2 linked regions of the Callithrix jacchus genome follow. Each later gene encodes a partner of the first gene's protein in a complex. Links are inferred from orthologs where the notes say so. Each region holds a gene or a part of one and is shown on either strand. Other genes may lie near its edges.

The links.
Region 2: the proteins of STAT2 (region 1) and IRF9 are in contact, whole or in part, in a crystal structure (PDB 5OEN), measured with the Mus musculus proteins. The link is inferred for Callithrix jacchus from reciprocal best matches to the Homo sapiens genes STAT2 and IRF9. Residues at the interface, in NP_064347.1 of Mus musculus: Arg163, Gln164, Lys166, Asp167, Glu168, Asp170, Val171, Phe174, Arg175, Thr177, Val178, Phe179, Leu181, Lys182, Asp188, His190, Gln191, Gln193, Gln194, Leu197, Thr201, Lys204, Met208; in NP_032420.1 of Mus musculus: Leu206, Leu208, Tyr212, Leu233, Asp234, Arg236, Ser244, Glu245, Ser246, Ser247, Met248, Asp270, Arg271, Leu274, Val275, Ala276, Asn278, Ser279, Arg280, Phe283, Val284, Gln285, Leu287, Cys313, Glu315.

The regions. Positions count from the first base shown.
Region 1 is NC_133510.1:63,281,272-63,284,984, forward strand, and holds the start of STAT2 (signal transducer and activator of transcription 2), read left to right. Parts: upstream 1-909; 5' UTR 910-937; exon of another isoform or gene 938-1,144; intron 1,145-3,713. UniProt on the Homo sapiens protein: Signal transducer and activator of transcription that mediates signaling by type I interferons (IFN-alpha and IFN-beta).
Region 2 is NC_133509.1:58,471,801-58,475,446, forward strand, and holds the end of IRF9 (interferon regulatory factor 9), read left to right. Parts: coding exon 1-69; intron 70-364; coding exon of another isoform or gene 365-425; coding exon 426-507; intron 508-609; coding exon 610-681; intron 682-1,162; coding exon 1,163-1,504; intron 1,505-2,400; coding exon 2,401-2,516; intron 2,517-2,676; coding exon 2,677-2,751; 3' UTR 2,752-3,134; downstream 3,135-3,646.

The DNA of each region.
Region 1 (3,713 bases):
GCTCAGCCTATAATCCCAGCACTTTGGGAGGCCGAGGCGGGTGGATCACGAGGTCAAGAGATCGAGACCATCCTGGTCAACAAGGTGAAACCCCGTCTCTACTAAAAATACAAAAATTAGCTGGGCATGGAGGTGCTCACCTGTAGTCCCAGCTACTCGGGAGACTGAGGCAGGAGAATTGCTTGAACCCAGGAGGTGGAGGTTGCGGTGAGCCGAGATCCTGCCATTGCACTCCAGCCTGGGTAACAAGAGCGAAAGTCCGTCTCAAAAAAAAAAAAAAAGGGGGGGCTTATCACAGTACTCTCAATAAATAGCTATTAGCCAGGTGCAGTGGCTCACGTCTGTAATTCCAGCACTGAGAGACCGAGGCGGGAGGATCATTTGAGCCCAGCAGTTCAGAACCAGCCTGGGCAACATGGCGAAACCACATCTCTACAATAAATATAAAAAATTTTCCTGGCGGAGTGATGCACGCTTGTAGTCCCAGCTACCTGGGATGCTGAGCCGGGAGAATCACCTGAGCCCGGAAGGTCGAGGCTGCAGTGAGCCAAGATCTTGCCACTGCACTCCAGCCCTGGTGACAGAGCGAGACCATATCTCAAAAAATAAAAGACTATTTTTAAAATATTGTTTTCATTACCTCAGCCCTCCTCTTCCTATCCCAAGACGTCGAAATTCCGGTCCCACCCCTTCCCATGGGGCCCTTGGCGTCTCCAGAGTCCTCAAGCTAGTTTCGGTTCCTTGGCCCACGCGCGGGTTCTCGAAAATCAGCTGTTTCAGTCTTGGGCTAGTCCACTAATTGGACTCCTCCCCTCGTAGGCAGCGCCTATTTGAGCTTCTCCACCAATCGCTGGAACTGGAGGTGTGGTTTCGGCTCAGCTTGTCCCGCCCCACGGATGGGGCGGAATTGCGGCGGCGCCAATGAGCTAGCAGTCTGGTAAGGACTTGACTGATGGCAGTGTCGGGGTGGTGGCTGGGAAAGGGGCAGCTCCGGACTTCAGGGCCACCTTACAAGGGGACGGATCCGAGGGGGTTGGCCGAACTTGTAGGCGGGGCGGGAGGCTCTAGTACCCGAGATCCCTCTAGGCACGGGAAGTCGCGACCAGAGCCACTGGAGGGCGCGGGGACTGCCACCCCTAATCAGGTACGGGCCCTGAGAGTGTGTGCTGGGGTAGGGGTGGGGGTGAGAGTGAGAATTCCTCCCAGGGAAGGGCGACTGGCCTCAGGGGTTACGTACGCCCTGGAGGGGGCAGCCTCTGTCCCCAGGTTGAAATAGGAGCTGTCGCCGGCTCGGTCTTTGAACTTCTCCTGCCGAGCTTATCTCCCCAACCCTAATGGCCCTCTCCCCAAAGTCCCCTGAAGCTTCCGAGACCCGGAATCTGGCCTTATGTTGATTCGGTAGCTGAACCAAAGTTTTTGCCTCTGCTCCGCATTATGTTTTGTCTTCACCAAAATAAACGATGTCCAAAGATAGATTAACCTGAAACACAAAAACAAAACAAAAAAACAGATAGATGAATCTATCATCTTTATTTGTTTCGTAAAAAAGTATAAGCTCCTGAAAGATAAAACGATTACCTAAGGTCACACACAAAATTCAGTTCATTTCAGAAAAGCTTCTTGAGTGTAAAATATGTGCCTGAGAGTGAGAGATAACGAGAAAAAACTGTCTCAGCCCTTAACCTCAGTGTTTGCAATCCATTTGGGGAGACTAGGTTTTTTGTTTTGTTTTGTTTTAATATTTGAATCTTTGCTTCCTTGTGCGTTTCATACTAAACACTTAAATCCTCAAGAATTGAGACCTCATCATTAAAAAAAAAATTTTTTTTAAGAGATGGAAGCTCACTATGTTGCCTAGGCTGATTTCAAACTCCTAAGCTCAAGCTATCCTCCTGTCTTGTAGGCCTCCCAGAGTGCTGGGATTACAGGCATGAGCCACCACGCATGGCCACCTAATCATTTTTTTAACTTATATTTTTTTGTATCATAACAGCAATACAGTTACATAGTTTTAAAAATCAAGCACTACTAAAAGGTTTAAAATGAAAATAGCCCCTGCACAATCCCTCCTTTCCCTTGTTTCTACTTCCAGAGGTAGAAAGGCAGCTGATGTTATTTATGTTAGAGTACTGTCCTACCCCAAGCATTTCTCTTTACTTTGTAATAAAATCACGTGACCTTTTTAGACCACAAACATGCATAAATTCTGTTCTGTTAGGCTCAGATTGCAACAAGTATAAGTTTCAGTTTCCTAAATAGACACCAGATGTCAACGAACAGGGAAAGATGGGGAGAAAGATGCATGGCACAGCCTGCTTGGTGACAGGCAAACCTGTCTTTGTGACAAGCAAGAAAAAAAAAAACATTTTTTTTTTTTTTTCTGAGACAAAGTCTTGCTCTGTTGCCCAGGCTGGAGTACCGTGCATGAACTCCACTAACTGCAACCTCTGTCTCCTGGGTTCAAGCAATTCTCCTGCCTCAGCCTCTTGAGTAGCTGGGATTAGGCGCCGACCACCAGGCCTTGCTAATTTTTTTGTATTTTTAGTAGAGATGGGGTTTCACCATGTTGGCATGTTGGCCAGACTGGTCTTGAACTTCCGACCTCAAGTGATCCTCCCACCTAGGCCTCTCAAAGTGCTGGGATTACAGGCGTGAGCCACGGCACCTGGCCTAAAAAAACAAATTTACATAAAGTATCAGGATCTCACAAAGTTGATAACCCATAATCATATTCAAGATTCATAGGTCATAAAAGTGTCATATTCTTTTTTTTTTTTGAGATGGAGTTTTGCTTTTGTTACCCAGGCTGGAGTGCAATGGTGCAATCTTGGCTCACCGCAACGTCCACCTCCTGGGTTCAAGCAATTCTCCTGCCTCAGCCTCCCAAGTAGCTGGGACTACAGGCGAACGCCACCACACCCAGCTAATTTTTGCATTTTTAGTAGAGACGGGGTTTCACCTTGTTGACCAGGATGGTCTCGATCCCTTGACCTCATGATCCACCCGCCTCAGCCTCCCAAAGTGCTGGGATGATAGACATGAGCCACCACGCCCAGCCTAAAAGTGTCATATTCTTAGGGATTGAGCAATCCATTGCACAGCATTTAGATGTTTTCTAGAATGGAACTCCTCCTTCCTGTATAGAAGGTGGTTTATAGGGTATACTTACCTGACCTCCAAAAAGATTTAGCTCCTAAAAAAGCTTCAAGTGGCTGCGTGTGGTAGCTCATACCTGTAATCCCAGCACGTTGGGAGGCCGAGGTAGGCAGATCACCTGAGGTCAGAAGTTCAAGACCAGCCTGGACAACATGGTGAAACCCCATCTCTACCAAAAATACAAAAGTTAGGGGGGCATGGTGGCAGCCGCCTGTAAGCCCAGCTACTTACTGTAAGCCACCTATAAGCCCAGCAGAAGAATTGCTTGAACCCAGGAGGCGGAGTTTGCAGCGAGCCGAGATCATGACACTGCACTCCAGCCTGGGTGACAAAGCAAGACTCCGTCTCAGAAAAAAAACAAAAAAGCTTCAGGGCCAGCAGAGATCATGCTGTAAAAAATACTTAATATCAACACTGATCTTTAAATGCTTTAGCATAAGCAAATATAAACAACAAATAAACACATAAATGTAAAATAAATTAATTAGGCAGATAGATGAAATAAGATAGTGGAAATAGCAATGTTAAAGTTGAATGGTGATCCTTGTGGTATTCAC
Region 2 (3,646 bases), on another chromosome or scaffold:
AAGGAGGAAGAGGGTGCCATGCAGAACTGTACACTCAGTCCCTCTGTGCTCCAGGACTCCCTCAATAATGTGAGCGATGGAGAGGGAATTGGGCAGGCCTGAGAGCAGGACAGTAACTAGAGGGAGAGGTGGGCCAATGAAAGCATCTTCAGAGGCCAAGGTGGGCACATCGTCTGAGGTCAGGAGTTCAAAACCAGCCTTGACCAACATGGTGAAACCTTGTCTCTACTAAAAATCCAAAAATTAGCTGGTCATAGTGACAGCTGCCTGTAATCACAGCTACTCGGGAGACTGAGGCAGGAGAATAGCTTGAACCTGGGATGTGGAGGTTGCCATGAGCCGAGATTGCGCTATTGCACTGCAGCCTGGGTGACAGAGTGAGACTCCGTCTCAAAAAAAAAAGCGAAAAAACACTGTGTCTGCAGGAAGAGGAGGGAGCCAGTGGGGGAGCAGTCCATTCAGACATCGGAAGCAGCAGCAGCAGCAGCAGCCCTGAACCACAGGAAGGTACCACCTGCTTGCCTCTTGTGTCATCCACCATGTCACACACTCTGGCCCAAGACTCCCCAGCCCCACTCTGAATGACCAGTGCCTTTGCTTCCCTTCCAGGTACAGATACAACTGAGGCCCCCTTACAAGGGGATCAGGTGTCCCTGGAGTTTCTACTTCCTCCAGAGCCAGGTACGTGACATTTCTAACTTTCTCCTGTGTTCCTGAGGCCTTCCTCCTTTGATCGTACATGCATTATCTAGTCAGTCAGGGCTTACAGGAAACTGTGACCATCTTATCATAGCCCAAGGCACTTGTTTCTAGGTGGTGAGATTCCACATACCTGGCCAGACTCTAAAAAGCTTGCTTCCCAAAAATACCACCCTATACACTCTCCTGGAAATCCACACTGAGACACTAATTTCTTTGGGCCAAACAGAGCCCCAGTCTCAAGGGACCTTCTTGTAAATGACAGGACCCTGGGCATTAAGCCCTGAGGCCTCATGGTGAATCACTCAGTAGTACTAGCTACTTGCCTGAGTGATGGGAAAACCTGAGGGGAAGCCCCCTGGCCAGTGAGGGGAGGGGAGTGGAGATGTTCCCCTGGGGAGGGGCTACCACCAGCCTGCATGCTCCTCCAGCACCAGGTACAGCTAGACTGTTCTATCCCCAGACTACTCACTGCTGCTCACCTTCATCTACAACGGGCGCGTGGTGGGCGAGGCCCAGGTGCAAAGCCTGGACTGCCGCCTCGTGGCTGAGCCCTCAGGCTCTGAGAGCAGCATGGAGCAGGTGTTATTCCCCAAGCCTGGCCCACTGGAGCCCACGCAGCGCCTACTGAGTCAGCTTGAGAGGGGCATCCTGGTGGCCAGCAACCCCCGAGGCCTCTTCGTGCAGCGCCTTTGCCCCATCCCCATCTCCTGGAATGCACCCCAGGCTCCACCTGGGCCAGGCCCACATCTGCTGCCCAGCAACGAGTGTGTGGAGCTCTTCAGAACTGCCTACTTCTGCAGAGGTGAGGATGCTCTCACTGGGCACCTGAGCTCCTATCTTAGTACCCCCCGGGCCCAACTTGGTGGGTCCTGCCACCACCCTGTTTGCCAGCAGATCTTCCATGTAGCCTATGCATGGCACTCCTGCACTTGTGTGGTGCACATCGTGTTTGGCCATATGCCCAGCCTGGCAGCTATATGGCAGCTCTTCTCCAGCCAAGACAGTGGAAGAGGAGGTTCAGGTAGAGCTCAGCACAAGAGTGTCACATCTTGGGGAACACCATCACACTGAAGCGTGCAGTCATTATGTGAAGGTGCACAGAAGAATTGGCACAGAGTGAGCCTCATGGCCTTGTCCTATGTACACACATTTGGGAGAGCTGGCACACATCATACCTCTGGCTCTGGCTGCATCATCTCTACTATACTCCAGGAATGCCCTAGGGTTGCCCCCCTCTCCTATCCAGTTCCAGTTCCTACTCAATTCTAAATCTGACTTAAGAGTGGGGCCAGGAGTACAGGGGGTATAGAGTGTGGGTGTTCCCAGGGCCATGGGTACCCTAGCACTGAGAGGGTATGAGCAAGCAGCAAAAGTCTGGGCACATCTGTGTTAGCAGCCAGGGCTGCGGCCTGGGAGGACTCTTAAACTCTCTCAGCAGAGAGAGCTTTTCAGGTTGTGCAGTGATCTGCTACTTCTAACACTTATTTGAGGCAGGGGCACCCTTTCCCGTTTGCACATGGGTGAGTAGCATTTAGTTCCGAGCACTTCTCCTGACCTTGCAGCTCCTGCTCTGGCCTGGGGCTCCATGTGGACCCCCCCTCCTAACTATCTCCATCATGGGTTCCTCACTATTGCCTCCCAACCTGTGGCCCTCTCTCTTGTTTTTCTCCTTCCAACCCTTGACCCTTTCTCTTTCAGACTTGGCCAGGTACTTCCAGGGCCTGGGCCCCCCACCCAAGTTCCAGGTAACACTGAATTTCTGGGAGGAGAGCTGTGGCCCCAGCCATACTCCACAGAATCTTATCACAGTGAAGGTGAGCTCAGAGCAGGGGCAGAGTAGCCTATCTAATGAGAGTAGGGGCAGTGGTGGTCCAGGAGGTGAAGGGGGTCTCCCAGTGGGGAAGGAGCTCCTGGGGGTGGTGTCTGTCCCTGATGCACTCACTGAGACGCTCTTCTCCATCTCTTCCAATACAGATGGAGCAGGCTTTTGCCCGACACTTACTGGAGGAGACTCCAGAGCAGCAGGCAGCCATTCTGTCCCTGGTGTAGAGCCTGGGGAGCCCATCTTCCACCTCACTTCTTTGTTCTGCCTGTCTCCTTTGAAATAGACTCATTCTTCACATGATTGACCTGTCCTCCTCGTGATAATTCTCAGTGGTTGTCTGTGATAGTTGTGTCCTTAAAATCCTCGCACACACTGGCTGGTGGAGAACTCAAGGCTAATATTTTGTCCTTTCTTTTTTTAAATTTTTTATTTTTTGGATTTTGAGATACACACCTTCTTTCATGTGTAAGGGACTGAGAAATTCAAACGGTGTGAACCCAGGGATCTTTCCCTCTTTCCTGACCTCCCAACTCTAAAGCCAAGCACTTTATATTTTCCTCTTAGTTATTCACTAAGGATTTAAAATAAAATTTTATTGAAAGAGGAATCAGTATCTGATTTTTCTGGGAGACAGAGATGTAAACTTATGAGCAGGACACTGGGGTTTTCTTCCTTCTGACATCTTCAAAGCTCTTTCCTCTCCTCTGCCCACAGGTTCTGGCTAAGATGCTGTCTGGGCCCTGTGGGTCCTGGGCCTGGCACTCTGCAGAGGTACTCTCTAGGCAGCCATGATTAGGGAGAGGGTTGGGATTGGCCATTGAAAGGGCACCGAGCCTTCAGCCAGGCACTATAGCCACCAACTTCTCATGGTAGTCTGGGCTCCACAGTTCTTGCTAAGAGCACCAACATCGGGCCTGGGGTTAGACTAGAAGTCTGAAGAGGAGACACTTGAGGGTGACCCAAAACTGTTCTAGAGGCCCTGGGGCCTGAGAATAGAGGAGTCAGAAGAGTTGCTAAACCTGTACCTGCTGTTCCTGGCACCCCTTCCCCCAGCACAAATTGTGCTGTCACCCCAGCAGGGTACTCCCAAACTGGATTCCTTGCTCTAAGTCCCATAAA